Macaca fascicularis: one gene and its partner. The protein of the gene in region 2 interacts with the protein of the main gene of each other region in a pairwise test. Links are inferred from orthologs where the notes say so. Each region holds a gene or a part of one and is shown on either strand. Other genes may lie near its edges. The genes, in order: PRC1 and TRIM37.

The links.
Region 1: the proteins of TRIM37 (region 2) and PRC1 interact in binary tests that used the Homo sapiens proteins (3 or more experiments, as listed by UniProt). The link is inferred for Macaca fascicularis from reciprocal best matches to the Homo sapiens genes TRIM37 and PRC1.

Annotation. Positions count from the first base shown.
Region 1 is NC_088381.1:75,539,074-75,555,169, forward strand, and holds the start of PRC1 (protein regulator of cytokinesis 1), read right to left. Parts: upstream 9,735-16,096; 5' UTR 9,593-9,734; coding exon 9,582-9,592; intron 297-9,581; exon of another isoform or gene 1-296. Other genes in the region: VPS33B (vacuolar protein sorting-associated protein 33B), read right to left, coding at 14,431-14,510, 15,148-15,264, 15,371-15,446, 15,962-16,063. UniProt on the Homo sapiens protein: Key regulator of cytokinesis that cross-links antiparrallel microtubules at an average distance of 35 nM. Essential for controlling the spatiotemporal formation of the midzone and successful cytokinesis.
Region 2 is NC_088390.1:47,646,435-47,661,962, reverse strand, and holds part of TRIM37 (E3 ubiquitin-protein ligase TRIM37), read right to left. Parts: intron 13,759-15,528; coding exon 13,579-13,758; intron 8,571-13,578; coding exon 8,456-8,570; intron 6,947-8,455; coding exon 6,731-6,946; intron 5,386-6,730; coding exon 5,249-5,385; intron 1-5,248. UniProt on the Homo sapiens protein: E3 ubiquitin-protein ligase required to prevent centriole reduplication. Probably acts by ubiquitinating positive regulators of centriole reduplication.

The DNA of each region.
Region 1 (16,096 bases), on a different chromosome or scaffold from region 2:
AGAACTAAAAAGACTGGCTTCTCCGTGGCCTCGAGAAAAAAACAAATTAAAAATAGGCATTCAGCTTAATTCACCTTTAACCACTCCCCATCCCTTTTCCTACCAAATACCACTAGCAATGCAAGATTTCATATCATATTACATCATGGAAGCTCAACCTTCTGGACTTTCAACAATGATCTACCTATGGAAGTATAATACAGAATTATAAATACTTTTACTAAAGAAAAACCAGACAAAAATGTTGGTAAAATAAACTAACACAAGAACTTGCTGGCAAGAAACTCCTACAAAAATATCTGGCAATTTATTACTATTTTTGGGGGTTTTTTTGTATTTTTTTTTTTTGACACAGCGTCTTGCTCTGTCGCCTAGGCTGGAGTGCAGTGGTGCGATTTTGGCTCACTGCAACTTCCACCTTTTGCATTCAAATGATTCTCCTGACTTAGCCCCCGAATAGGTGGGACTACAGGCACGCGCTACCACGCCCAACTAATTTTTGTATTTTTAGTAGAGATGGGGTTTTGCCATGTTGGCCAGGCGGGTCTCGAATTCCCAGCCTCAAGTGATCCTCCCTCCTTAGCCTCCCAAAGTGCTAGGATTACATATGTGAGCCACCGTGCCTGGCCTTTTTATTTTATTTATTTTTTCGTTCTTCTTTTTTTTTTTTTTTGAGACAGAGTGTCACTCTGTTGTCTTGGCTAGAGTGCAGTGGCATGATCTCAGCTCACTGCAACCTCTACCTGGCAGGTTCAAGTGATTCTCCTGCTTCAGCCTACCAAGTAGCTCAGATCACAGGCATGCGCCACCAAAAATTAGCACGCCCAGCTAATTTTTGTATTTTTACAAAAACACAAAAACCTACTCGCCTTGGCCTCCCAAAGTGCTGGGATTACAGGCAAGAGCCACTGCGCCCAGCCTAGTATTCTTAAATTACAACTAGCAGCTCAAAGAATGGCTAAAGTTAAAAAGCCGTTGAGATGGGGTTTTACCATGTTGGCCATGCTGGTCTCGAACTCCTGACCCCAAGTGATCCACCTGCCTCGGCCTCCCAAAGTGCTGGGATTACAGGCATGAGCCACCTCGCCCAGCCTATTCTTCTTAAATTACAACTAGCAGCTCAAAGAATGGCTAAAGTTAAAAAGCCGTTGAGATGGGGTTTTACCATGTTGGCCATGCTGGTCTCGAACTCCTGACCCCAAGTGATCCACCTGCCTCGGCCTCCCAAAGTGCTGGGATTACAGGCATGAGCCACCTCGCCCAGCCTATTCTTCTTAAATTACAACTAGCAGCTCAAAGAATGGCTAAAGTTAAAAAGACAACATTAAGTGTTGGTGAGTATATAGAAAAGTGAGAACTTTCATATGCTGATGGCATAGTGTAAATTGGTACAACTATTTTAAAAACTGTTGGCAGTCTATCTACTAAAGCTGAACTCAGCAGTTCTACCTCTACATACATACCTAGCAGAAATGAACACATACCTTCACCAAAGACACATATGAGAATGGTTAGAGAAGCACTACTCATAATATTATGGAAACAGAAACAGCCTAGATGTCTATCAACAGAACGAATAGTACATTCCTACCGTGCAATAATACAGCAATGAAAATGAACAAACTTGCTGGGTGCAGTGGCTCACACCTATAATTCCAGCACTCTGGGAGGCCAAGGGGAACGGATCACTTGAGGTTAGGAGTTTGAGACCAGCCTGGCCAACATGGGGAAACCCCGTCTCTACTAAAAACACAAAAAATTAGCTGGGTGTGGTGGTGCGCCTGTAATCCCAGCTACTGGGGAGGCTGAAGCAGGAGAATCACTTGAACCCGGGAAGTGGGGTTTGCAGTGAGCCGAGGTTGCAGTGAGCAAAGACCGTACCGCTGAACTCCAGCTTGGGCAACAGAGTGAAACTGTCTCAAAAAAGGAAATGAACACACTACACATGACATGGAAAGCCATTATTATTTTTCTATTTTATTTATTTATTTTTAAATTTTACCTTTTTGGGGTGATGAAATAGTTCTAGATCTTGATGGTGATTATATAACAGTATACAATTGAAACTACCTGTAAAGTGAGTCCGTTTTACTGTGTATGAATTATACCTCAAATCTTTTCATTTTTTTAATGAAGTCAAACAACTTAAAAAAAAGTTGTAAGGGGAAGAGGAAGAAAAAAAAAACACTTTAGGTTGAGCAAAAGCCACCAGATACACAAGTGTGTATCACTATGTGATTCCATTGACATAAAGTTCAAAAACAGGCAAAACTGGTCAGGCGTGGTAGTTCACGCCTATATTCCTAGCACCTTGCAAGGCCGAGGCAGGAGGATTGGTTGAGCCCAGGAGTTTGAGATCATCCTGGGCAACAGTGAGACTCTGTGTCTATCAAAAAAAAAAAAAAAATTAGCTGGGCGCAGTGGCGTATGCCTATAGTCCCAGCTACTCAGGAGGCTGAGGTGGGAGGATTGCTTGAGCATGGGAGGATGAGGCTGCAGTGAGCTGTGATCACTGTACTCCAGCCCGAGCAACAAAGCAACATCCTATCTCAAAAATGGAAACAAACAAAAAATCAGGCCAAACTAATCTATGCTTTCAGAAGTCAGGATAGTGGCTCTTTTGGCTCAGAGGAGGCAGTGACTGGTAGAGGGCTTCTGGGTTGCTGCTTACACAGGTGCATCAACTGTGAAAAATTCACTGAGTTTACACTTGATTTCTGTATGTTTCTGAATGTATGTTATTCTTCAGTTACCAAAAGCTTATTTTAACAAAAAATTATTTATCTAAAATACAAATTTAACTGGCTTCTGTATCTTTTAAGAAAAGTTTACTTTAAAAATTAGAACCATTAGTCTGATTTACAGAACATTTAAAGAATAGAAATTTTTCTCCCTTTTCTTAGATATAACAGGACAACTAAGACTGCCCTGGCACCAGAGAAACTGCAATCTAGATGTTCTCTGCTTCCAGTCAGCTGAGAAGCCTGCAGCAAATCACTTAAACACTTAGCTGTTTGTGTGCCGTCCACACCCAATTGGAGCTAGAGACTTTCATTAGCCCCTTTCTGTCTCAGAGCTTTCGATGGTTCTACAAGTCACCAGCCTAGATCTCTAACAATGTGTCTCTCCAAAGCTGTTAATACATTCACATCCAAAATATCTCCAGCCACGAAATCCCAGTTTAGAGGTTGCCTGTTCTTGTTGAAGAAACATTTCTACACAAGTACCTGTTGCCTATACCAGATGGCCATACCAAGACCCAAATACTGACAAATGTTTAAAAGAATTTACTGTACTCCCTTCACTTTAGAAATGTTAACGGTTCAAGTCCAACAGAAAAAGAAAAAAAGAAATGTTAACAGTAAGGCATTTATTTAACATAATCTCAACTAAAGTCCAACTAAAGAGCTTCCCCCGGCAAACACTCCTTTTGCACTTCATTTTGAAGACACAAGAATGCACAAGTAAAAATCCTAATACTAGCATTTTGTTAAAAATAACTTTTAAGATCCAATCTGTGGCCAATATTCGATCTGGATGCAAAACCCTGGCTTCCAGACAGGCCAGCCGGGGGCACTGTTCTGAAGGTCATTACTTAAGTATACCAGTCTCCTCAATCTGACAGACCTACCCCTGCCCAGCCAATCTCCACAGAACAGCTAGTTGTTCATAACAACAAATCCCATCAGCTCCCTGCTTAACTACTCCCCTTCAAAGGTCCCATTGCCCTCAGTAAATAGTTCAACCACCTTCCGTGGAAAGGCCTTCTAAACCTCTCTCCGAGTTTGCTAATCTCTGCCACTTGTCACTCCCCAAGTTTCCAGCCAACTGAACTTCCTGGGCATTCCCTGAACAGTGCCCCTCAATAAACCACATGCAGCCCTCATTTTCTGATGCCACCGTGCTTTGTACGTTCAGTTCCTTCTATCTGCCACCACCTCCTCTGGAGACCTGTGGACTTGTCACTCACTTGCCATTTTCCCCCCAGGCCCCTAGTAGACCATAAACTCAAGGGCAAGGACCACCACGTCTTATTCATCTTCATTTTACCACACCCTAACGCATAGTAGTTGTTCAATAGATGTAAAATGAATGGCCCTGAATTCCTGCCAAAGGGTCCTATGCTCCTAACCTACCTAACCTAATAGAGGTATTATGTATTCTAGGATCCTGATGAAGGTTTACAAGCAGGGCTGCCTATCTCTGTAACATATCTACAAGGTAAAGTGATCATTTTCCTGAATAAAAAAATCTAGCACAATAGGCAGAGAATCTGAATAGACATTTCTCCAAAGAAGATATACAAATGGCCAATAAGCACATAAAAAGATGCTCAATGTTAGTCATTAGGGAAATGCAAATCAAAACCACTTCACAGCCAACAGGATGGCTATAATAAAAAAAAATATATATAGCAACAAGTATTGGTGAGAATCTAGAGAAACTAGAACCCTCAAACACTGCTCGTGGGAATGCAAGACAGTGCAGCCTCTTTGGAAAACAGTCTGGTAGTTCCTCAGTTGTTTTTTTGTTTTTTGAGACAGGGCCTCACTGTCACCTGGGCTGGAGTGCAGTGGTGTGATCATAGCTCACTGCAGCTTCAAGGTCCCTGGCTCAAGCAATTCTCCCGCCGTAGTCTCCCAAGTAGCTGGGACCACAGACGTGCTATCATGGTTGGTTAATTTTCGTTTTTTTTTTTTTTTTTTTTAAAGATTTGCCATGTTGCTCAGGCTGGTCTTGAACTTCTGGGCCCAAGCAATCCTCCCACATTAGCCTCCCAAAGTGTTGGGATTACAGACATGAGCCATTGCACCCAGCCCCTCAGTTTAATGGAGTTCATACAACCCAGCAATTTTATTACTGGGTATTTACCAAAAATAAATGAAAACACATTTATACGAAAACTACACAAATGTTTATAGCAGCATTACTTACAATAGCCAAAAAGTCAAAACAAAACAAAACAAAAGGCCATCAATTTATGAATGGGTAAATAAAATGTAGTATATAGCCATACAATGGAATATTATTTGGCAATAAACCTTGAAAATATTATGCCAAGTCAAAGAAGCAAGTCACAAAAGACCACAACAGCTATGGTTCCGTTTATATGATATATCCAGAATAGGTAAAAAGTAGATTTGAGGTTTGTATGTTTTTTTTGAGACATCTTTCACCTAGGCTGGAGTGCAGTAACATGATCATGGCTCACTGCAGCCTCAACCTTCTAGGCTCAGGTGATTCTCCCACCTCAGCTTCCAGAGTAGCTGGGACTGCAGATGTGAGCCACCACACCCAGCTAACTTAAACAAAAAAAAATTTCTTTTAGGCCAGGCACGGTGGCTTACGCCTGTAATTCCAGCACTTTGGGAGGCCAAGACCGGTGGATCACGAAGTCAGGAGTTTGACACCAGCCTGGCCAATATGGTGAAACCCCATCTCTACTAAAAATACAAAAATTAGCTGGGTGTGGTGGTGGGCACCTGTAATCCTAGCTACTCGGGAGGCTGAGGCAGGAGAATCGCTTGAATCCAGGGGGAAGAGGTTGCAGTGAGCCGAGATCGCGTCACTGTACTCCAGCCTGGGTGACAGAGTGAGACTCCATCTCAAAAAAAAAAAAAAAAAAAATTTTTTTTTTTGTAGAGGCAGTCTCCCCCAAGCTGTTCTTGAACTCCTGGGCTCAATTAGTCCTCCCACCTTGGGCTCCCAAAGTGCTGCAATTATAGGTGTGCACCACCTTGCCTAGCCAAAAAGTAGATTTGTAGTTGGGGGTGGGGAGAATTTGGACCATGGAGTGAAAGGGGATTGACCGCTAATGGGATTTTAAAGGGGTGATAAAAATGTTCTAAAATTGATTGCAGTGATGATTACACAACTCTGAATATTCTGAAAATCACTGAATTATACACTTTAAGTACATTGTATGGTATGTGGATTATATCTCAAAGCTGTTATTAAAAACATCTCGGCACATAATCTGAAATTTTTTTGATTTGTGACTTAATTGAAAAACTTACAGATTTTTACTATGGCTGGGCGTGGTGGCTCACGTTGTGTAATCCCAGCACTTTGGGAGGCCAAGGCAGGCTGATCACCTGAGATCAGGAGCTAGAGATCAGCCTGGCCAACATGTGAAACCCCATCTCTACTAAAAACATAAAAATTAGCCGGGTGTTGTGGTGGGTGCCTGTAATCTCAGATACTCAGGAGGCTGAGGCAGGAGAATCACTTGAACCCGGTGAACCCAGGAGGCAGAGGTTGCAGTAAGCTGAGATCGTGCCATTGCACTCCAGCCTGGGCGACAGAGCAAGACTGTCTTAAAAAAAAAAAGAAAGAAAGAAAGAAAGAAAACTTTACTAATATATAACACATTTTATTTGGCCTGTTGGAAATGGGTGTTTGGTAATTCCAAACACCCATTATTATTATTCTAGTTAGAGACAGTTCCTGTAAGAGGATCATTTTCAAAGAATTAAAAACTAACATTTCTCACTCTTCCTAACATTCAAATTGTACTGAACTTAATTTTTTTTTTTTTTTTTGAGACGGAGTCTTGCTCTGTAGCCCGGGCTGGAGTGCAGTGGCCGGATCTCAGCTCACTGCAAGCTCCGCCTCCCGGGTTTAGGCCATTCTCCTGCCTCAGCCTCCGGAGTAGCTGGGACTACAGGCGCCCGCCACCTCGCCCGGCTAGTTTTTTTGTATTTTTAGTAGAGACGGGGTTTCACGGTGTTAGCCAGGATGGTCTCGATCTCCTGACCTCGTGATCCGCCCGTCTCGGCCTCCCAAAGTGCTGGGATTACAGGCTTGAGCCACCGCGCCCGGCCAATTTTTTTTTTTTAAAACTTAAATCTTGTATCATCCTTGACACTTCTTTCTTATATTCCCGCCATTAGCATTATCTACACAAGACAGGCAGAATCTCATTCCTCCTGACCTCTGCTGCTACCACTACCACCCCCACCCTCGTCCAGGTCACTGCCACTAACTTTTTGCTGTATGGCAATGGCTTCTTAACTGGTCTCCCTGCTTCAATGCTGGCCTCCTTAAGTCTATTGTCAACACAGGAGCCCCAAGTCCTAATCTTCTACTCAGAACCCTCCAATGACTTGCCATCTCACTCCAAGGAAAAGCCTCTGGCTTTGCAAAGCCCTATGAAGGCCCATTCCATCTGAAAGCCATTTCTTTTGACCTCAGTGCTCATTCTATTCCTGTCACAGAGACCTCCTTGCTCTTTCTGGAACATACCAGGCACTATCCCCGCTTAGGGCACTTGGATATGCTGATTACCTAGATCTCTTTTCCCCCATGCTGCATGGCTTCACCCTTTTCCTCCTTAGGTCTTTGCTCAGAGATCACCTTCTCAGGGAGGCCTTTCCTGACCCATCTCTTTAAAACCACAACCCCACTTCCTACACCTTCAGTACTTCTTATCCCCTTTCTCTGCTTGATTTCTCTACATAGCACTTATCACCATTTAAGATTAACTTATTTATTACACTCCTGTTTTGCTATTAGAATACAAACTCTGTGAGGACAGGGATGTCACTTTTGCTCACTGCTATATCCCCACCACTTGGAATGGTTCCTTGTATATAACATTCAAGAATTATTTTTCTTTTCTTTTTTAGTATAGATTATTATTATTTTTTAGAGACAGGGTCTTGCTATGTTGCCCCAGGCTGGTCTTGAACTCCTGGGCCCAAGTCATCCTCCCACCTTGGCCTCCTAAAGTGCTGGGATTACAGGTGTGAGCCACTGTGCCAGGCCCAAGAAGTCTTTTTGAATGAATAATGTGACATTTCAAAAAAGTTGTATGTTCTTAAGATGCTTCAGAGCAATCATTATGAACAATTGTCATGATACACTGAAATACTACCTGGCTAAATTGTTTCAGGTAATCCCCTAAAAGGAGCAAGTCTGAGATTTTTTTTAGACTCACTGAAAAACTCAGAGTGCATACAAAGACTACCACTCAAGGACACAAAGGTTGTAGAATGAGTCAGTTTTTTCAGTCTTGAACATAAATCACTGGACTGGAAGAAATCTCAAAGTGGTCCTCTAAATTATTTCCTACCTTCAGGCAGCCTTCACTGATCCACTGCCCTATTTTTTCTTAGCACTCCAGAGAAGGAGCTTTGTTGATCTCCTGTGCAACCTGTTTCGGGGACCGATAACCATAATTAATTCTGGCCAGAGTTTTGTTTGAGCCTCAGAGGTCAAAGCTGCAGTGAGGAATCTCGCCACTGCACTCCAGCCTGGGTGACAGAGTGAGACCCTGTCTCAAAAAAAAAAAAAAAAAGTCAAATTATATCCATTAGCCTGGAACCAACACTAAAGGGTAATTTTTTCTCCTGCTTCATTCAATCCCTTGATAGAGGAGATGCCTAAATAATTCATAAACTGTTAATGGACTTTTTTTTTTGAGACAGTCTCACTCTGCCACCCAGGCTGGAATGCAGTGTCGAGATGTCGGCTCATGCAACCTCTGCCTCCCAGGCTCAAGCGATTCTCCTGCCTCAGCCTCCTGAGAAGCTGGGGCTACAGGCGCACCACCACGCCCGGCTAATTTTTGTATTTTCAGTTAAGACGGGGTTTCACCATGTTGGCACTCAATTCTCATTATTCTGAGGGCAAGCATTTGAAAAAGACAGATCAGAATCAGTGATCATGAAATGAAGAATCTTACAAAGCCTTAGAACAATCAGTTTCACCAAAAACTACAAATTAACGCTGTATCATCACAATAATTCATCTACAACTTTCAGAAATTAAAGTTAATATTTGGAAGGCACAAGGCTGGTAAGTGTCAGTGTCACTGGTCCGGATTTCAAGTCGGTCAGTCCCTCCCCAACACTGCCTAGGAAGTTATTAAAACGACCGGAAAAGAATTCCATAATCCGTTTCTTAACTTGCAAAGAAACAAAGCTATCTTTCCAATTCAAACAAAACGTTAACACCGCTGGCCAGATATAAAGAAAAACAACGGGCCGGGCGCGGTGGCTCACGCCTGTAATCCCAACACTTTGGGAGGCCGAGGTGGCAGGATCACCTGAAGCCAGGAGTTCGAGACCAGCCTGGCCAACATAGGGAGACCGCGTTTCCACAAAAACAAAGAATAAAACAAAACAATGATAAATAAACTTAACAGCTTTAAAGAGAAGCCAGGACCACAGAAGGTTTACGAGTCATCTGCGCCAAGAAGCGGCACCTGAGACGCCGAGGGCGGGGAGGGTGGGGTCCGAGCGCCAGCGCTGACCGCCAGGGTGGAGGCCGACCCGGGCCCCCGGCCTCGCTTGCCCTGCCGCGTCCGGGCACCGGCGCTCGGCTCCCACCCGGGCGTCTGAGCCTGCGGACACCCGCGGCCGCCGGGGGACAGCGCGTCAGGTCTCACCTCCGTCGCGGCCCTCGCACTGGCTCGCCGCCTCCAGACCCTGCCTCTTCGCGCCCCCGGCCTCACTCAGCGCCGACTGCTGTGACGCCCTAGTCCCGGGACCCCGCACGGGCCCCGCACCCCTGAACCCCTGAACCCGAGACGGGCGTCGCTCTCTCCCGCGTCCCCTCGATTTCCCCGCAACCCGCACCTTCTCCTCATGGCAGACGCTCCAAGCAGCCGTCAGTCCAGCTCTAGACCTACTCAACACCGCCACGAGAGCAACAACCACCCGCAAACACCGGCGATCTCACTCCGGGTAGCCGCTCCGTGAGCCGTTGAGCCCCGCAAAATTTCAAACCGCGCCGCGGGGCGAAGCCTCGCTGCGATTGGCGTCGCGTCCCGTCGCTCCACGAAAATCCCCGCCCCTCGGGTTGCAGCTCGCGGGTGCGCAGTCGGGGCGGGGACTCGTGAGCGGGGCCCGGGAAGCGCTGGAGCGGGGCGGGGGATGACGTCACTGTCTGTGAGTGGGCGGGCGTGGCCTGCACCTCCCACTTCCCTCGATTGGCTGCAGCCTCAAGGGACTCCCCTCCCGAGTCGGCTACGTCATCGGAGCACCGCCCCGCCCCGCCCCGCCCGGCGCAGTTTGTCTTCGAAGTGCGCGGGCGGGGAAGGAGTTGAGAGCACCGCGGCTTTCCGGCTTCCCTGAGTCCCGGCTGCCGGGACCGGGAGCGGGGAGGAATAGGAAAGTTAGAGCCTAGTTTCCCTTGCTCATCCAAGAAGCGAACGTTGGAACCGATCTTTGGTGGGACTTCTCCCCAGATGTAGGAAGCCGTACACTAAGGGGAAGGGAAGGAACATTGAGCCCTGCTCATGGGCCTGGAACCTTTCAACGCTAGTTATCCTATTTAACCTCCACAATCCTGTTATGGCAAGTATTGTCACCATTGCAGAGGAAACTCAAAAAGATTTGAATGATTTGCCCAACTCACCTGATTGGTGAATAAATGCAGATCACCTAGGTGTGGTTTTCTTTCAAATTAGTTTCTAAATTGTTACATGAAAAATTTAAAACTCAAAATAAACATCATAGTACTTTTGTAGCCTCCTTTCCTCGATGAACATGTTACATCCCTAAATGCTTATATATCACATTTTTTTTCCCAGTGATTCATGGTGGCATAATATCCTGGTGTGTAGCTATCTCGCCCATTCTGCTATTGATATTTAGATAATTCAAAATATAAGGCTGGACTGAATATCTTCATACATAAATCTTTGCATCCTGCATTTTCGTATGGCTGATTCCTAGAGGTGTAATTACTGAATGCTCCCTTTATTAATTTGCCTTCTGCACAAAGCCTCACCGGAAAAGTACCCTCCTTTTGTTACCCTCAGCAGGGCTGAATTCTATCATACTTTTAAACATCTTTGCTCATTTTGTAGGTAAAATAATAATACTGGCATTTCCTTGTTTGGCACTTGATTATAACTGAAATTGCACATTTTTCGTGTTTACTGGCCAACTGTAACTTACGTTCATATGCCTTTTCCCTAAAGGTAAAGGATGCTTGTTTGCTTCACCTTCAGAACCATATTTTTCTTATTTTCAGAAAAACTTCATTGCTGCTTTCAATGTTCTTCTTATTTTTTTAAATTGCGATGGAGTCTTGCTCTGTCACCCAGGCTGAAGTGCAGTGGCCCAATCTCGGCTCACTGCACGTCCGCCACCCGGTTCTTGTGCCTCAGCTTCCCAAGTAGCTGGGACTACAGGCACGCACCACCATGCCTGGATAATTTTTTTGTATTTTCAGTAGAGATGGGGTTTTGCCATGTTGGCCAGGCTGGTCTTGAACTCCTGACCTCAGGTGATCCGCCGGCCTCGGCCTCCCAGTGCTGGGATTACAGGCGTGAGCCACCGCGCCTGGCTTCAATGTTCTTTTTAACCTATCAGCAGCATGCCAGATATTCACAGCACAAACTCAGTGGAGGACAGGCACCACTTTTTCAATTTCCTTGCACTCTGTTGATTAACATTGACACCACTAATAGAGTGGATGGCAGCACCACTTTTAAAATTTACTTGCATTCTTTGTTGGTTAAATTAACAGGAGAGCTTTTCAGAAAGCTTCACAAATTTGTGATCTTCATACATGTTCTTAGGGCCAGCATTATTAAGTATCCAGAGATAAGACAATTTTTCTCTCGTCCTTTACACTGAGGTGCTGAGGCTAACAAAGTCACAGAACTGACGCAAAGATATCCATTCAGAGCATAAACGCTGCATGTAAAACACTGTGTAATAGGTGTTTATAATATATGACCTTAGCCTGGGCAGTGTGGCAAAACCCTGTCTCTATAAAAAATACAAAAATTAGCCAGATGTGGTAGTATGAGCCTCTAGTCCCAGCTACTTGGGAGGCTGAGGTGGGAGGATCACTTGAGCCCAGGAGGTCAAGGCTGCAGTGAGGCATGATCATGCCACTGTACTCCAGCCTGGATGACAAAGCAAGACCCTTTCTCAAAAATCAAACAAATAAAAAAAACCCCTATTACAGGGTCATATATTTCTACTTGATGGAAGGGCAATGTTTTGCCACTGTTTAATCTTTTTCTGATGCCACCTATTCTTTCTGCGAACAACAGCCCTGTTGGCAGTGTCTTTGGTCTTGCACACTAGCTTGAAATAACACTCAAAATTCTAGCTAGATGCTTGAGGAATGCCTTTTCCTTGGAATGTATTCTTATACAGAATTATCTGGCCGGGTGCGGTGGCTCAAGCCTGTAATCCCAGCACTTTGGGAGGCCGAGGCGGGTGGATCACGAGGTCAGGAGATCGAGACTATCCTGGCTAACATGGTGAAACCCCGTCCCTACTAAAAATACAAAAAAAAACTAGCCGGGCGTGGTGGCGGGCGCCTGTAGTCTCAGCTACTTGGGAGGCTGAGGCGGGAGAATGGCGTGAACCCGGGAGGCGGAGCTTGCAGTGAGCCGAGATCACGCCACTGCACTCCAGCCTAGGAGACACAGCGAGACTCCGTCTCAAAAAAAAAAAAAAAAAAAAAAAAGAATTATCATTATTTTTATTTACTTATTTACTTATTGAGACAGTCTTGCTCTTTTGCCCAGGCTGGAGTCCAGTGGCACGATCTCGGCTCACTGCAACCTCTGCCTCCTGGGTTCAAGTGATTCTCCCGCCTCAGCCTCCCGAGTAGCTGGGACTACAGGTGCGCACCTCCACAGCCAGCTAATTTTTATATTTTAGTAGAGACAGAGTTTCACCGTTGGCCAGGCTGGTCTTGAACTCCTGACCTCAAGTGATCTGCCTGCCTCGGCCTCCCAAAGTGCTAGGATTACAGGTGTGAGCCACTGCGCCGGGCCCAGAATGATCCTTATTCTATAGGAAGAATACTTTTGATGATCTAGTAACTCAGGTTTTGATTTTCTTTCTTCCTCTTAGTAAGTGGCAGCACTGTGGAATGGGGAACAGATGGGAGGATGAGCAGCTGGGAGGGACACTCTTACAAAAACCCAGGCAAGAGACAATAAAGACCTCTATCATAGGGATGGTGAGGAGAAGATGAACTAGAGGCATTTAGAAATAAGAACCAATAGGACAAGGGAACCAGCTAAAGGTGGGGCATAGAAAGAAAAAATCTGAGGCCAAGAATACAACTTTTTGCTCATTTGAACAAAGTTTGGGAATACAGGAAGAAGAGCAGATTAAAGGATTCAAGTAGGGACAAGAGCTTCCACTCATGAGTTTATTTTGTACATGCTGAGTTTGAAGTGCCTGTGGAATGACCAGGTAGGACATACTTGTGTGGAGTGAGATGAAAGCTTGAGATCTGGAAGTGGATGACAACAAAGGACAGAGAGAGGGGAGGTGTCAGCAAATGGGATCAAAGAACAACCTAAGAGATTGTGGGAGGACAAAGAAAGGGTATTATGGAAGCTGAATACGACAATTTCAAGGAAAGTGTAGTCATCAGCGGGATCAAGTTGGAAGAGGCCTGAAAACTGGCCACTAACACAGGTGGTTGTAATTCCTTCTTTTTTCTTTTTTTTGAGAGAGGGTCACAGTTTACTGCAGCCTCAACCTCCTGGGCTCAAGGGATCCTCCCACCTCAGCCTCCCCAGTAGCTAGGAATACAGGCGTGTGCCACCACCCTCAGCTAATTTCTTTATTTTTTGTAGAGATGGGGTCTTGCCATGTTATCCAGGCTGGTCTCAAACTCCGGGGTTCAAGCTTTCCTCTTGCCTTGGCCTCCAAAAGTACAGTGATTACAGGCATGAGCCACAGCACCTGGCCTATATTTCATCATTTTTGAAAGGTAAAGAGAGAAGGAGAAAGGCTACTAGCATCAGCAATGAGGAGGGTGCTGGTACATTTATAGGAGCACCGTTTGCTGATGCCTGAAATGGCTCTAATGGCACACAATCTTTCATTCTGCAGTAAGAAACAAAATGCTTAAAATTGAAGTGCCTCCTTAAGTTAAAACAACAAAGTCATTTTCTCAAAAATGTAATGAATCACAACATTTTAGAATTGGAAACGTGCTTGCTGGTCACCTCATCCATCCCCCTCATTTTATGGTTGAGGAAACTCAGGTACAGAATGGTCGAGTGACTTTTACAGGGAAGAACCAGATCAGGCCACTATAAAGTCCAGGCCAAGAAGCATAGGAAGCCCCTGTAGAAAGCTCCAGTGGGCTTTCACTAATAAAGATGGAAGTGCGTGTACAGAACAACAAACATATTACATCTGAGAGCAGAGGCTTTATTTACAATGATATTCAAACAGGATTTAACAAAGGATACCTCTTCCTGCTTGTATCTTAGCAGCATGGGTTGTACTTCATAAACAGAAAAGAGAAATATCCTGGGAGCAGGAAGTGAACTCTCTTCTCAGATATGTTCTCTAAATCCCAACCCGTTCCATGCTCCCGGCTCGTAGCAGGTAGTTGGTAGACACTTGGTTATAACAGCTGGGTGCCAGATGCCTGCCTCCCACTGAGGAATGTGTTCAGGGAAGATGACAATACTGGCCGGGAAAAACATCAGGCTTTCACCTCACTCATAGCCTCCATAAGACGAGCACTGTTTGTGACTGCTGTTGTCAGGAAAATGAACCTGTAGCCTAAGGAGTCAAATGCAGCAGCAGAAGAGACAGCGCAGATCTTAGGCCCCAACGATAACCATAGAGCCCCTCCATTTCCACAGTCCCCATGGGATCAGAGCACCAGTTTATAGACAGAGACGTTGAGTGCCATACCCTTGGGCACCACTGCTTTCTACGCCTGGTATAACTGGGCTCCCTGCTATAGCAGCCCACAGTAAGGCTATGGCAAGTTGTACTCCGAGGCCAGGAGAAAACTATTCCTATGCAGGACACTTTGCGTGGGTTTTTTTTTTTTTTTTTTTTTCTTTTTTCTTGAGACGGAGTTTTGCTCTTGTTGTCCAGGCTGGAGTGCAATGGCGCCATCTCGGCTCATTGTACCCTCCACCTCCCAGGTTCAAGCAATTCTCCTACCTCAGCCTCCTGAGTAGCTAGGATTACAGGCACCCACCACCATGCCTTGCTAATTTTTGTATTTTTAATAGAGATGGGGTTTCACCATGTCAGTCAGGCTAGTCTCGAACTCCTAACCTCAGGTGATCTGCCTGCCTCGGCCTCCCAGAGTGTTGAGATTACAGGCATGAGCCACTGCGCCCAGCCAACACTTTGTTGCCCATATACAATGCAGGCCAATTCTCACCTTTCTGATCTCTCTTACCTTTCTCTCTGCCCAGGAACCGGAGGGCTGAGATCTCAGAGAATGTGCAACCACCCAAGAACACCACTAAGATGAGGCGCAGGGACTCACTGGAAGCCTTGTCTTCCTTAGTCATGTCTGTGAGGATCAGGCCAGATTCAGCTCTTCCCTGACATGCTAGTCCTGAGTGGTGCATCCAGCCCACCTCTCACTGCCAGCCTACCCCACTGTTGATGCCACATACCTGTAAATGCAAAGTCACTGCAGTTGAGCAGCCGTACCACCTCATCAAGGCCCTGCCAACTTCGCCGCTCTAGCACCTGGGAAGGTATAAGCACTGTTTTTAAGGCTACAGACAATATCAGGCTTAGGAAAGGAAGCGCACAGCAGCCAGACTGTCACATTTCTTGCTCATTACTCAAGTAGCAAAAAGTTGAGACAGGGCCAGGTGTGGTGGCTCACACCTGTAATCCCAACACTTTAGGAGTTTGAGGCGGGGCGATCACCTGAGGTCAGGAGTCCGAGACCAGCCTGGCCAACATATAGTTGGCCTCGTCTATATGAAACCCCATCTCTACTAAAAATACAAAAATTAGCTGGGTGCAGTGGCACATGCCTGTAGTCCCAGCTACTTGGGAAGCTGAGGCAGGAGAATCACTTACATCCAGGAGGCGGAGGCTGCAGTGAGCTGAGATCACCCCACTGCACTCCAGCCTGGGTGACAGAGCGAGACTCCATCTCTCAAAGAAAAAAAAAAAAAGTCAAGACAAGTTAGGGACCAAGAGAAAGCAGAGACAATGAAATATGAATGGGAGCAAGAGTAATATGCTCTTACCTGCTCAATGATTCGGCAGCTCAAGGGCACATAAGCACCACTGAAGACGTAAGCCATGTCTCGGGGCACTTTCAGATCATACTCGCCGTCCACACGTGGGATCTATAAGACAAAGGGACTTGGCCGGGCGCGGTG
Region 2 (15,528 bases):
ACAAAAAGAAGAAAGATTTTTTGTCACTATCCAAATTTAAGTAGTGGTAATGTTATTGTTTAAACAACCTTCAAAAAATATCGGCCAGGCACGGTGGCTCACGCCTACAATCCCAGCACTTTGGGAGGCTGAGGCGGGCGGATCACAAGGTCAGGAGATTGAGACCATCCTGGCTAACACAGTGAAATTCCCGTCTCTGCTAAAAATACTAAAAATTAGCTGGGCTTGGTGGCGGACACCTGTAGTCCCACCTACTCAGGAGGCTGAATCAGGAGAATGGCGTGAACCCAGGAGGCAGAGCTTGCAGTGAGCCAAGATTGCGCCACTGCACTCCAGCCTGGGGGACAGAGCGAGACTCCATCTCAAAAAAAAAAAAGAAAAAAAAAAAAATCAGCCATTTCTTCTTACAAAGCTAAGAAAAAAAAGGAATTAAAAAATATATATATCAGGCCGGGCGCGGTGGCTCACACCTGAAATCCCAGCACTTTGGGAGGCTAAGGTGGGCGGATCACCTGAGGTCAGGATTTCGAGACCAGCCTGGCCAACATGGCAAAACCCTGTCTCTCCTAAAAATACAAAAATTAGCTGGGTGTTGTGGTGGGTGCCTGTAATCCCAGCTCCTCAGGAGCCTGAGGCAGGAGAATCGGTTGAACCTGGGAGGTGGAGGTTGCAGTGAGCCCAAGATTGCACTACCGCACTCCAGCCTGGGCAACAGAGCGAGACTCTGTCTCAAGAAGGACAGGACAGGACAAGACAGGAAAGGAAAAGAAGATTAAAACAAAAAGAACTGTGTCAGGCAAAAAAAAAAAAAAGAAATAAATGAAACACTAATAAATCTAAGAACCACTGTTAGAAGAAATTCCAGCTTCTGAGAACTGGTAGCTTAATGGTAATAAATTAGGCTTAAAATATTACAATTTAATATCCAAAAAAAAAAGGCCCAAATTACTGTTTATGACTAAATACTATTTTTCCAAAAATAAAATTTCAGAAAAGAGGGTACTGACTAGGCCATACAAAGTCTCTCATATTAAAAAACACTCACTATTACTTTATTTTAAACAACAAAGTACTATTTGAAACAGTACCAATCAATGATAGTCTTGGATATTTAAGGAAATCTCAAGATAAGCATCCAGCTTGACAATGTAAGGAGCTCTGCAGATCTGCTCGTTAGTCAAACTGGTGACAATTATTTTAAAAACAACCACTTAACGACTCTGGAAATGGTCCCAAGGGTATACAGCAAATGAAGAAACATCTACTTAAAAAAATCTATAAAACCTGGGTAAGACAAGTGGGTATCCGCAGGATTTGAACCAAGACCACTCCGCTTCCTAACTTGGCGTTACAGAAATTCCACTCCAGATTGGTGCAATGAAGAACATAGGCCTCCCACTTCCCAAGCTTCCAAGAGGAGGGCTATATTCCTAGGAGTGGCAAGATATCTCCATTTCTCATTCTGCCCCCAGCTACCTATTGCTGATGCTATAGTACAGGCACACACCGCCAAGACATGGAGACTCCCTTCTGCTGAGACCCACTTGTGGAATAGAGGCTCTACTTGGATGCAGCATGATGAGAATACTGGGGCCCAGATCATCCCTGTCCCAGCTTATTCATAAGGTGGAGGTCCCAAGCCTGAAAAGGAAAGAACTAAGGCTACTGTCCCCAACATCCAGTTAACTCAGCTTCTAAAGTAAGGGAGGTATACTTTTATCCTCACTGCAACTTCAAAGCTTTGGCTCAGAGATTTTGCCTACAGGGAGAAGCAGAGACACATACAACACTCAGAGAAACATACAACACTATTAACAGCATCAACAAAATACAGTTGGCCTTCTATATCTGTGGGCTCTGCATCTGCACATTCAACCAACTGTGGATCAAAAATATTTTTTAAGGCCTGGTGCGGTGGTTCATGCCTGTAATCTCAGCACTTGGGGAAGCCGAGGCTGGAGGACTGCTTGAGCCTAGGAGTTCGGGGCCAGCCTAGAACAACATAGTAAGGCCATAGTGAGACCCCATCTCTACAAAAAATTTAAAAATTAGCCAGGTGTGTTGGCAAGCACCTGTAGTCCTAGCTACTTGGAAAACCAAGGTGGGAGGATCACTTGAGCCCAGGAGGTCGAGGTTGCAGTGAGCTGTGATCACAACACCACTGCACTCCAGCTTGGGTGACAGGCCAAGACCCTGTCTCAAAAAATAAAGTTGGCCGGGTGCAGGGGCTCACGCCTGTAATCCCAGCACTTTGGGAGGCCGAGGCAGGTGGATCACCTGAGACCAGGAGTTTGAAACCAGCTTGGCCAACATGGCAAAACCCTGTCTCTACTAAAAATACAAAAAATTAGTCAGGCATGGTGGCAGGTGTGTATAATCCCAGCTACTCAGCAGACTGAGGCAGGAAAACCGCTTGAACCCGGGAGGTGGAGGCTGCAGTGAGCTGAGATTGTGCCATTGCGTTCCAGCCTGGGCGACAAGAGCGAAACTCCATCTCAAAAAAAATAAATAAAACAAAACAAAATAAAGCCATGCACAGACTTTTTCCCCTTGTCATTATTCTGTATACTATAGAGCATAACAACATAGCATTTACATTGTATTAGGTATTATAAGTAATCTAGAAATGATTTAAAGTATAGGGGAGGATGTGTATAGGTTATATGCAACTACTCTGCCATTTTATATAAGAGACTTGAGCATCCTCAGATTTTAGTATCCAAGGAGGGGTCCTAGAACCAATACCACAAGGATACTGAGGGACAACTGTACTAGCAAACAGAATCCAGCAACATATAAAAAGAATCATGAGCCAAGCGTGATGATGCACACCAGTAGTCCTAGCTACTAGGAAGGCTGAAGCAGATGGATCACTTGAGGCCAGAGTTCAAAGTTACGGGGAGCTATAATCATGCCACAGTACTCCAGCCCGGCCACAAAGCAAGATTTTCTTTGGAAAAAAAAAAAATTTCTGGGTGTAATGGCTCCCAGGCCAAGGCAGGCGGATCACGAGGTCAGAAGATCGAGACCATCCTGGCTAACACGGTGAAACCCCATCTCTATTAAAAATACAAAAAAAGCTTAGCCAGGCCAGGTGGTGGGAGCCTGTAGTCCCAACTACTCGGGAGGCTGTGGCAGGAGAATGGTGTGAATCGGGAGGCGGAGCTTGCAGAGAGTGGGTATCGCGCCACTGCACTCCAGCCTGGGTGACAGAGAGAGACACCGTCTCAAATTAAAAAAAGAAAAAAAAAAAGGATGGCCAGGCAAGGTGGATCACACTTGTAATTCCAGCACTCTGGGAGGACGAGACGGTGGATCACGAGGTCAGGTGTTTGAGACCAGCCTGACCAACATAGTGAAACCTCATCTCTACTAAAAATACAAAAAATTAGCCAGGCGTAGTGGTGGGTGCCTATAATCCCAGCTACTCAGGAGGCTGAGACAGGAGAATCGCTTGAACCTGGGAGGCGGAGGTTGCAGTGAACCGAGATCATGCCATTGCACTTCAGCCTGGGTGACAGTGTGAGACTCTGTCTCAAAAAAAAAAAAAAAAAAAAAAATTACACACTATGACCAAGTGGGATGTGTCCCAGGAAGGCAAGCTTGGTTTAAAAATCCAAAAATCACCAGGCGCAGTGGCTCACACCTGTAATCCCAGCACTTTGGAAGGCTGAGGTGGGAAGATCACCTGAAGTCAGGAGTTCAAGACCAGCCTGGCCAACGTGGTGAAACCCCATCTCCACTAAAAATACAAAAAAAAATAGCCAGGCGTGGTGGTATGTGCCCGTAATCCTTGCTACTCGGGAGGCTGAGGTGGAAGGATCACCTGAACCCAGGAGGTGGAGGTTGCAGTGAGCCAAGATCGTGACACTGCATGCCAGCCTGGGTGACAGAGCAAGACTCCATCTCAAGAAAAAAAATTTATCCACATTAATGATATTCATTAATTAGTTCATCAATAGGGCAGAAGGGAAAGCTCTTCCTTAAATTGCAACTAATGAATAAGAAATAATGGAATTAGAAAAACACCACTTGGCAATCAACACAGTAACCTTTTTCAAGCAACACTCATCAAGGGGTGTCAAAATTCACAGGAAAAAGTAGGAAGAAAAATATGATATTTACAGTCCCATACACAAGATACTTATTAATTATAAAGGAAAAAGTAGTAATTTTGGAGTGCAGAAATCTGGCGGATGCTACCTCAACCAAGTGATCAAAATTAACAAGTAATGGGACATATTGACATCATGCTCCACTCCCACATGATGCAATGAAAAGGATACATTATCATTTCCGTAGTATCCCTGCCAAAACTGTGTAATCTCTATCTAATCATGAGGAAACTTCAGACTAATCCAAATTGAGGGACTTTCTACAAAATAAACTATTCTGTATTTCTCAAAAAGTATTAGTCATAAAAAACAATTTTTTTTTTTTTTTGAGACAGTCTCGCTCTGTTGCCCATGCTGGAGTGTAGTGGTGCGATCTTGGCTCACTGCAAGCTCCGCCTCCTGAGTTCATGCCATTCTCCTGCCTCAGCCTCCCAAGTAGCTGGGACTACAGGCACCCGCCACCACGCCCGGCTAATTTCTTTTTGTATTTTTAGTAGAGACGGGGTTTCACCGTGTTAGCCAGGATGGTCTCGATCTCCTGACCTCGTGATCCACCTGCCTTGGTCTCCCAAAGTGCTGGGATTACAGGTGTGAGCCACCGCGCCCAGCCGAAAAACAAATTTCTAAAAAAGTAACCCAGATGGAAGATAACTAAATCGATTTAACAACTAAATGCAATGTGATCCTGACAAAGGACATTACTGGCAAATTTTTAGAAGGTTACAGTATTACATCAATGTTAATTTCCAGATCTTGATAACTATTCTATAGTTATGTAAGAATATCCTTGTTTTTAGAAAAGTAGACAATGAGAAGTATATTCAATCTCAAGTGTTTCAGAAAAAAATTAGAGAAATATAAAGCAAAATATTAATAGTGAATGAATCTGTGTGAAGGAAATATGGAATTCTGAACTTTTCTTAGGCATAAAATAATTTCAAAATTCAAATTTAAAAGGTAAAACAAAAACAAAAATTATTGGCTAAGAGCCCAGAGATTAGAGGGAGAAAACTGGCTATTGATTCAACCTTTCAAAAAAGTGCTGAATGTCCCTACTTTTAAGGGTGAGTTAGTTAATATGCTTCTAATAATTACCACTTAAATGCTTTACAGTAGTAAAGTGGGACACTCACATAGTTTCTTCATCAATATCATTTTCTTCTGTATTACTTGTTGCTGTGGAACTAGCAGAGGAACTGCTGCCATCTAGCTGATTTACTTCATCCTCATAAACAAGATCCAGATCCAGATCTCCATCTGAAAGCTCGTGCTAGATCAATGCCAAGAAAACAAGACATCTATTCCAAATGTTTCTACTCAGTTGATCACCCCATCCACCCCATAAACCAAGCACCAAAGAATAATATAGTTATCAAAAAGCTATTTTCTGCTTCTGTGCCTCAGCTGCTGAGCCCTGTGGAGAAAAATCACACAACCACAGTGACATCATTTTACTAACTTATGCGTGCCGCCTTCAGCTGGGCCCTCAGTGTGACTGGAATCCTTCACATATTCCACATCAGCTTCCTCACAGAGCTATGTTTCAAACCATCACTCCTCAGTTCTACCTAATTTTACCATTATCAAGGTCATTAATTAACACTGTCACCTATCTGCACAGAAAAAAAATACCCACTATTAAGCAAAAACTTCCCCAACTTTCAGCTGCCTTACCTGCAAACTCCACCCTTCCTTTAACTCAGTTTGTCAAAGACTAACTGCTTTACCTGACTGCTCCATTCCAAACCCTATTATCTCTAGTTTATCAAAGCACTTAATCTGTGCATTCTCTCGACCCACTGGGTCCTTCAACGTAACTTAAAACTGAAGTATCTCATCTTAAAAATTACTACAAAAAAAAACAACTATCTAGGCATCCCTTCTTATGTAAAAATATCTACTTCTTAAATTCTTATTCTGGATTCTGGCTGTTGTTTAGCTGGGATAGAGCCTGGTTATCTACTAAATCCTAAATCATTCTACCTACATAAGTAATGACAAGGTATGTACTAGTTTCAGTGAATGAAAATAGAACACCTGGTTTTTTTTCTTTTTCTTTGAGATGGAGTCTTGCTCTGTCTCCCAGGCTGGAGTGCAGTGGCACAATCTTGGCGCACAGCAACCTCCACCTCCCAGGTTCAAGTGATTCTCCTACCTCAGCCTCCCAAGTAGCTGGGATTACAGGCAAGCATCACCACACCCAGCTAATTTTTGTATTTTTAGTAGAGACAGGGTTTCACCATGTTGGCCAGGGTGGTCTCGAACTCCTGACCTCATGTGATCTGCCCACCTTGGCCTCCCAAAGTGCTGGGATTACAGTGTGAGCCACCGCACCCGGCCAGAACACACTTTTAAAATCCACAATTTATGGTAGTTTAGTTTTTAAAATGTACATCACAGTTTGTTTTATAGAATGTATTATTTCAGAATCTTGAAATGCTTTGATTCAACAACTTCTGACTTATTAACATTTACATAAGGGCATATATACATTACTAATGGAAATCAATGGACAATATTTTTAGCCTACTGTTTCAGCGCATAATACGTTAAAAGCCATGATTCTACTGTTTCTTTTATCAAACACAAAAATCTAAAACTGGCCTCATTATTACATGATAATCTTCATTCTGAATCTTCTCCTCCTCTTCTTCATCCTCTTTGGCCTCTCTTATAGAAGCTGTAGTAGGACCACCCTCAAGAAGCATGTCAGAGCACGCAGACTTCTTAGCTCGTGTCTCCGGAACATCATCATTTTGGGGGCTAAGATGGTTATCTGGTGGTGACAAATCTCTTGACTTCTGAGTTCGAGATAGCTCAATAGTAAGTCTCTTTTAAAACAAGAAAAGCACAAATATTAGCCATAGCTCACTGGCACAGTAAAAGATGTTTCTAGCTAAAAAAAAATGCATCCAGACGCTCCTAAAACCATTTCTTTCTTTCCTTATTTATTTTTTGAGAACTGTCTCACTCTGTTGCCCAGGCTGAAGTGCAGTGGTGCCATCACAGCTCACTGCAAGCCTTGAACTACTGGGCTCAAGAGATCCTACTGCCTCAGCCTCTCAAGTGGCTGGGACTGGAGGCATGTGCCACCATGCTTAGCTAATTTCATTTTTTATTTATCTTGCTACGTTGCTCAGGCTGGTTTTGAACTCCTGGGCTCAAATGATCTTCTGGTCTCGGCCTCCCAACATGCTGGGATTACAGGAGTGAGCCACCTCACTTGGCACCATTTCTTAAACTATTTCTCTGAATCCCTACTGCCTTTTATTTATGAAAAAAATTGATGACAAAGATAAACTGCCCCATATATGCTCATCTTCCTTCTTTCATATCCAGCCTAAGCTAAACATACAAATAGCAAACAGTAAGTGAATACAGGTAGTTTTAAATAGTACATTTAACATGAAAATCTCTGAAAGCATGTATTTATTCATATTTTCCTCCCTGACCTATTAACGATTCTCAGCACTCCAAACCTTCCGCCACATCCTAAGTTCCTAAGGGAAATGAAACATTCCTCAGTTTATCATTGTAAAATAAAAATTCATCAATTAATCTTCTCTAGTGCTCATTCAATAATAGTTAAGAGTTCAAGATGGGACAACTTTTAATTGTGCTATAGCCTAGAATCCTCTAAATCCAAGATAACTTGTGGAAGAGAAACTAAGTCACTGACAGAAACACAAAGAGCTTACCTCAAACTACAGCCACACTGTTCAAAACAACTTTATGCAATGACGGAAATGCTCTAGATTTGCAGTACCCAATGCAAGCACTTGAAATGTGGCTACTGCAACTAAGGAATTAAATTTTTAATTTTAATCAAGTTAAATTTACAGACCAGGCACAGTGGCTCACACCTGTAACCTCAGCACTTTAGGAGGCCAAGGCAGGCAGAGTGCTTGAGCCCAGGAGTTCAAGACCAGCTTGGGCAATATGGAGAAGCCCCTGTCTCCATAAAAAATACAAAAACTAGCCATGACACCTGCTCAAAGTCAGAGCTACCTGGGAGGCTAAGGTGGGAGGACCACCCAAGCTTGGGAAGCTGAAGCTGCAGTTAGTGGAAACTGTTCCTGGCAACGAGAGTGAGTGTGACCCTGTCTCCAAAATAAAAAATAAATAAAGTAAAACAAAAATTTACATAGCCATATGTGACTAGTGGTTACTAAACTGGACACTGCAGAACCAGTAAGGATGGGGAACAGGATAACTAGATTTTTTTTCCAATTATAAACTACAAAATTACAAATAGCAATAAATATATTAAATCTAATTACAAATATAACAAGCCAAAAGGACAATAGGAAACACTAAACCAGAAATATATATTTCCTTACCTCTTTAAGGTTGTTTATTTGTTGGATATAACTAGTCTGTGCAGCTTCCAACTGAGTAATGTACCAATGCTGGTCCCGGGATTTTTGAAAGAAAGTTGGTGAACGTACCTGAAACCTTAAAAGAATCGTGCCACATTAAAAAAAAAAAAAAATTCAAATGGTAAAATATTATGAGTCTAGCTTTGAATTCTGTAATTTTGGTTAACTTGATTATAAGGCCAAAATTCACGTAAACTTAGAGCTGCTAGTATTTGTTGTTTATAGACGTAATCCACAGATTATGACACAAGATTCTGAAAATCCAGTTGTCCTCAAACTACCTTTCTAAAGTACATTGTACATTGTAGTTAAGCTCCCCAAACTAACCTACTAAGGCATATTATAATAATGCAACTAAAATATGATGATGATCATGAGTTGGGAAGAAGAGAGCCATATACCATGCAGTTCCCTCCTATAAGGAGAAAGATAACTCTTATCCCTTTCTTCCCTAAATCAGGCCCTAGCAAAATACAAAGTTTTAAATGCTGCTCTTTATATTTCTCTATTCCATCTCACATTCCCATATTTCCTGCCCCTCAGAAAAAAATCATTTACTGGGTCAACCACCCAGGATTGCTTTACTGTCCCCCAAAGAGTTACATGCTCTAAATAAACTATATCCCGAACCCTTCAAGATAGCAATCAAAATTGCCCTTATTACAATATGGCATTATTTCAGCTTAGATTAGGAAAAAAAAGTACTGCATCTACATAAAATCATATTAATATATAAATGACAGAAACTTAATCTATCCAGTTGTTTTAATTTTTAAAAAAACTAATACTTACTAAAGCAAACCTCTACCTTTGTTACATAGCCTAACGTAACTATATTTATAGTGAAAAAATTGCAGTGCATGTGTGAAGGTGTTTTTGAAGAAAGGAAACACCACAAGGCAAGATTAATTTGGATATCTACCTCTCTTTCATTCCTTCCAGCCTTTTACCCAGTTACACAATGTTAGCTGTCCATTTTTTTCTAGGATTTTACACCTTAGCGTAAGAACCTACTGACCATTTAACAGTTATCTGGCAGTATATACCTAGTTTCAGTCAAGAATACTCATGCAAGAAAGGACAGAACATAAACACCAACTATAAAACAACAGTCCTATTTAATGTTGGGGTAGTCTTGATAGGTCAGAAGTTTTTGGGCATCATTATATGCTATATTTGGATTATCAAAATGAGAACTTGAGTATTTTTTTTTAAAAAAAGAGATTGGCTGGGCACAGTGGCTCACGCCTGTAATCCTAGCACTCTGGGAGGCCGAGGCGGGCAGATCACCTGTGGTCAGGAGTTCAAGACCAGTCTCGCCAACATGGTGAAACCCCATCTCCATTAAAAGTACAAAAATTAGCTGGGTATGGTGGTGGGCGCCTGTAATCCCAGCTACTCAGGAGGCTGAGGCAGGAGAATCACTTGAATCTGGGAGGCAAAGGTTGCAGTGAGCCGAGATCATGTCACTGCACTCTAGCCTGGGCAACAGAGCGAAACTCCGTCTCTAATATAATATAATATAATACAAAATAAAAATAAAATAAAATAAACAGATTAAAGTATGTTCTGAACTGAACTGAGCAGAGATGATTCACAGTCTAGGAAGCACCCATTGGTAAGACATTAAAGTAAGATCGTCTGAACACTATTATTTTCTTTGAATGACTTAAACCAGTGGTTAACCCTGAGCATTATAATATTTTGCCATTAAAACAAAACCAAGCAGCAGGTAAATTTTCTTAACTTTCTGTTTTAATGAAAGAATGAAATATATATTCATAGTTACAGAAAAGCCTTAAATAACTTTCTAATAAAGTTCCACCAGAATCTTGAACTAAATGAGGTTTAAAGTTTGAGCAATGTTTCATTAAATAAATAAATATAATACGATAATGAGAAGCTCCCTATCCACGAATTTCATAGCAATTTACTTATGGTGCTACTATAGCATTATTTTATAATAAGAGTGTAGTAAACTCTTTTTTTATCTGCCAATTTCATCTTGAGTTCCCTGTGGACAAAAACCATGTCTATATTTTTCTTATTAGCAACTCAGTGTCAGGCATATGGTACAGACTCAATGTTGCTTTAAAAAAATGATGTCCTAACAAGAATTTGTTTCTGTACTAATATATAACAGTAATAAGGATGAAACTAAGACTATAAGAAAATGGGTCTTTTGTAGGTTGGTAAAATTGATAGTTGAATAATTTTGTAATTCTCTCTATGGCTGAAGCATGAAAAGCAATAAATTACTTCTCTTGGCGAACATTAAACCCCAAAAGTCTGAAAAGCTATATGAAGATAACTAAAATAATCCCTCCCTTCAAAAAACATGATTCCAGGCACAGTGGCATGCACCTGTAATCCCACCTACTTGGGAAGTTGAGGCAGGAGGATCACTTGAGCCCAAGAATTCTAGACTAGACTGGGCAATATAGCAAGACACTGCCTCTAAACAAAACAAAACAAAACAATAACAAAAACATGAATCTTTTTCCCTACACTGAAAATCATATCCCTTGTTAAACTTCTTTACACTTCCAGAAAAGCTATGGAAAACACCTAAGAGTAAATGCTGATATGATCTGTCCAGTATGCTCAAGAACAAAGAGCTCTGAATAAGGGAAATTTAGGAGTACATTAAATCACTCTCAAGAAAAAAAAAGTTTCAAATTGTGATGAGAACTTCTTAAACTGCTAAATACTCTGAAACTTCTCAGTTACGAACGTATTTTAATCTCTTTTTTAAATATTCAAGTTCTCATTTTAATCATCAAATTATAACATCATGTAATGATACCCAAACATCTTTTTTTGTTTGTTTTTTGTTTTTTTAAGACAGAGTTTCACTCTTGTTGTCCAGGCTGCAGTGCACTAGTGAAATCTCGGGTCACTGCAACATCTGCCTTCTGGGCTCAAGCGATTCAACTGCCTCAGCTTCCCAAGTAGCTGGGATTACAAGCGCCCACCACCACGCCCAAATAATTTTTGTATTTTTAGTAGAGACAGGGTTTCACCATGTTGCCCAGGCTGGTCTTGAACTCCTGACCTCAGGTGATCCACCCACTTCAGCCTCCCAAAGTGCTGGGATTACAGGTATGAGCCACGGCGCCCAGCTGATGCCCAAAAACTTCTGACCTGTGTAAAGACTACCCCACGTTAAACAGGGCTGTTGTTTTTATTTACTTTATTATTATTTTTTTTGAGATGGGGTCTTGCTATGTCGCCCAGGCTGGGGTACAGTGGCATAATCTCGGTTCACTGCAACCTCCACCTGCCAGGTTCAAGCGATTCTCCTGCCTCGGCATCCTGAGTAGCTGGGGTTACAGGTGCGTGCCACCACAGGCTGGCTAATTTTTGTATTTTTAGTAAAGATAGGATTTCACCATATTGGCCAGGCTGGTCTCAAACTCCTGACCCCAGGTGATCTACCTACCTCAGCCTCCCAAAGTGCTGGGATTACAGGCGTGAGCCACCATGCCTGGCTAAATAGGGCTGTTGTTTTATAGTCAGTATTTATATTCTGTCCTTTCTTGTAAATACTAAACCAACAATCAACAATAAAAAATTGATGGTTTTGGCTGGACGTGGTGGCTCACGTCTGTTATCAGAGCACTTTGGGAGACCGAGGTGGGTGGATCACCTGAGGTCGGGAGTTCGAGACCAGCCTGACCAATAGGGAGAAACCCCGTCTCTAATAAAAGTACAAAATTAGCCGGGCGTGGTGGCCCATGCCTGCAATCCCAGCTACTCAGGAGGCCGAGGCAGGAGAATCGCCTGAACCTGGGAGGCGAATGCTGCAGGGAGCCAAGATCGTACCACTGCACTCCATTCCAACCTGGGCAACTAGAGAAAAACTGTCTCAAAAAAAAAAAAAAAAATTGATGGTTTTCCCAAATACCACATGTTCTCACTTATTATTTAAGAGCTAAATGGGCCAGGCACGGTGGCTCAGGACTGTAATCCCAGCACTTTGGGAGGCCGAGGCGGGTGGCTCAAGAGGTCAGGAGATTGAGACCATCCTGGCTAACACGGTGAAACCCCGTCTCTACTAAAAATACAAAAACAAAATTAGCCGGATGCAGTGGCGGGCACCTGTAGTCTCAGCTACTCAGGAGGCTGAGGCAGAAGAATGGCGTGAACCCGGGAGGCGGAGCTTGCAGTGAGCCGAGATTGCGCCACTGCACTCCAGCCTGGGAGACAGAGGGAGACTCCATCTCAAAAAAAAAAAAAAGGCGCTAAATGATGAGAACTCAGGGATATAAAGAGGGGAGACAATAGACACTGGGGCCTACTTGAGGATGGAAGGGAGAGGATCAGAAAAAATAACTACTGGGTACTAGGCTTAGTATCTGGGTGATGAAGTAATCTGTACAGCAAATCACCACGATGTGAGTTTACCTGTATAACAAACCTACATAAGTATCCCTGAACCTAAAATAAAAGTTTAAGAAAAAAGTAGAAAATTGCTCATTTTCATCAACTTTCATCTTGATTCTTCTTTTAATTTTCTGTTATTCACAAAGAACTGATAGCTGCTTTATAAAATTAAGTTGTAAAACCAGTCACTCAAATATAAAATGCACTGTGAAGTGAAAAAAATCAACACTTTATCTCTCACTATTCTTAGATTTCCAAACGGTGAGGTCACTAGAAGTTCAACAGATAAATGGAACATTACTATATTTACTGGAAGTTGTAGTTTCCTCCCTACACACATTTTTTTTTTCTTTTTAAAGAGATGGGGGTCTCATTATGTTTCCTAAGCTGGTCTCAAACTCCTGGGCCCAATCTATCCTTCCATCTCGGCCTCCAGAGTAGATGGAAACACCAGCGCACCACCGCACCCGGCATATCTTTAATGAAATTACTAACTAGATGTCAAAAAAAAAGTTTGACTTTTTGACTACAAATTTTTGATTATTATCCACTTAAATAAAACAGTTAAGAAAGTGATAAGGTTATAGTTAGTATGAATTTCAATATTCATCTTTGTTAACCAAATGATCTTTGAAATACAGTTCCAATGATATTATTTCCCCACAATAAAAACCACAACATTAAATTTTTCCTATTACCTTAAAATCACGGTATCATTTTGTGGATTCAAGTATCCTTCATTTGCAAGTAAGTCCAAACGGAAAAATCTATTATAGCCCCAGCATTCTCCAACTTCAAAGTCAGATGCAAATTCTCGAATGATATTTTTTGTAGGATCATTACAGGACTGGTGAACCATCTCTACACGATATTCATATCTAAAATTGAAAAACAGACCATTACTATACAGTTAGTAAAATAAGAATAAAAGACAAACTCATCTAAACATTAAGGTCACTAAGTAATCACCTGAGAGGAAACCTTATTGATATATGCAATTACATTTCTTTTATCATTTATAAAAACAGCAGTATTTTGGGCTTTTTTTTTGAGATGGAGTTTCACTCTTGTTGCCCAGGCTGGAGTACAGTGGTGCGATTTCAGCTCACTGCATCCTCTGGCTCCAGGTTCAAGTGATTCTCCTGTCTCGGCCTCCAGAGTAGCTGGGATTACAGGTGTGTATCATGCTTGGCTAATTTTGTATTTTTAGTAGAGACGGTGGTTCATGTTGGCCAGGCTGGTCTTGAACTCCTGACCTCAGGTGATCCACCCACCTTGGCCTCCCAGTGTGCTGGGATTACAGGTGTGAGCCACCACGCCCAATCAGAAAAAGAGCAGTTTTTATTTATTTATTTATTTATTTATTTATTTATTTTTGAGATGGAGTCTCACTGTCGCCCAGGCTAGAGGGCAGTGGCAGGGTCTCAGCTCACTGCAACCTCTGCCCCCTGGTTCAAGTGATTCTCCTGCCTCAGCCTCCCAAGTAGTTGAGATTACAGGCGCACGCCACCACACTCAGCTAATTTTTTGTATTTTTAGTAGAGACATGGTTTCGTAATGTTGGCCAGGCTGGTCTCAAACTCCTGACCTCAGATGATCCACCCTCCTTGGCCTCTCAAAGTGCTGGGATTACAGGCGTGAGCCACTGCACCCGGCCAAAACAGCAGTATTTTGAATGAACCACCAAAACATGAATGGTACTAGGTCCTTTTTTCCTCATAAAGATGTTTACCAATATATTAGGTATAAAACAACACCTCAAAACATAAATAAATTTTGAATAAAGAAGTAATTCAAAGTTGCTTTTGTTTTATTAATGCAATATTTTTTCCTTATATTCACTACATGTTTCCTCATACATAAATATTCTGTTATTTCTATTATCCTTTGAGGTTTATCACCTTGCAATTTTAAAATACAAATTTTGAAATACTCTACTGTATTTTTCCAGCACAAGTTATAGCAAAGTAAATTATTGTGTATTCAGAAAATCAAAGGCTATAAAATTTCCTAATAGAAAATAAGTATGCAGCCATAAAAAAGAACGAGATCATGTTTTTTGTGCAACATGGAAGGATGGAGCTGGAGGCTATTATCCTTAGCAAACTAATGCAGGAACAGAAAACCAAATACCACATGTTCTCACTTACACAGTGGGAGCTAAATGATGAGAACTTATGAACACAAAGAAGGAAACAACAGACACTGGGGTATACTTGAGGGTAGAGGGTGGAAAAAGGGAGAGGAACAGAAAAGATAACTATCAGGTACTGGGCTTAATTCCTGGGTGATGAAATAATCTGTACAACAAACCCCCATGACATGAGTTTACCTATGTAACAAACCTTCATACGTAACGCCAAACCTAAAATAAAGTTAAGAAGAAAAGAAAAAGAGAAAGAAAATAAGCACGCTGGACACAGTGGCTAACACCTGTAATCCCAGCACTTTAGGAGGCCGAGGTGGGTGGATCGCCTGAGCCCAGGAGTCTGAGACTAGTCTGGGCAACATGGTGAAACCCCGTCTCTATAAAAACAAAAAACAAAAAAATTAGCTGGGTATGGTAGTGCATTCCCGTAGTCCCAGCTACTTGGGAGTCTGAGGCAGGAGGATCACCTGGGCCCAGGAGGCTGAGGCTGCATTGAGCC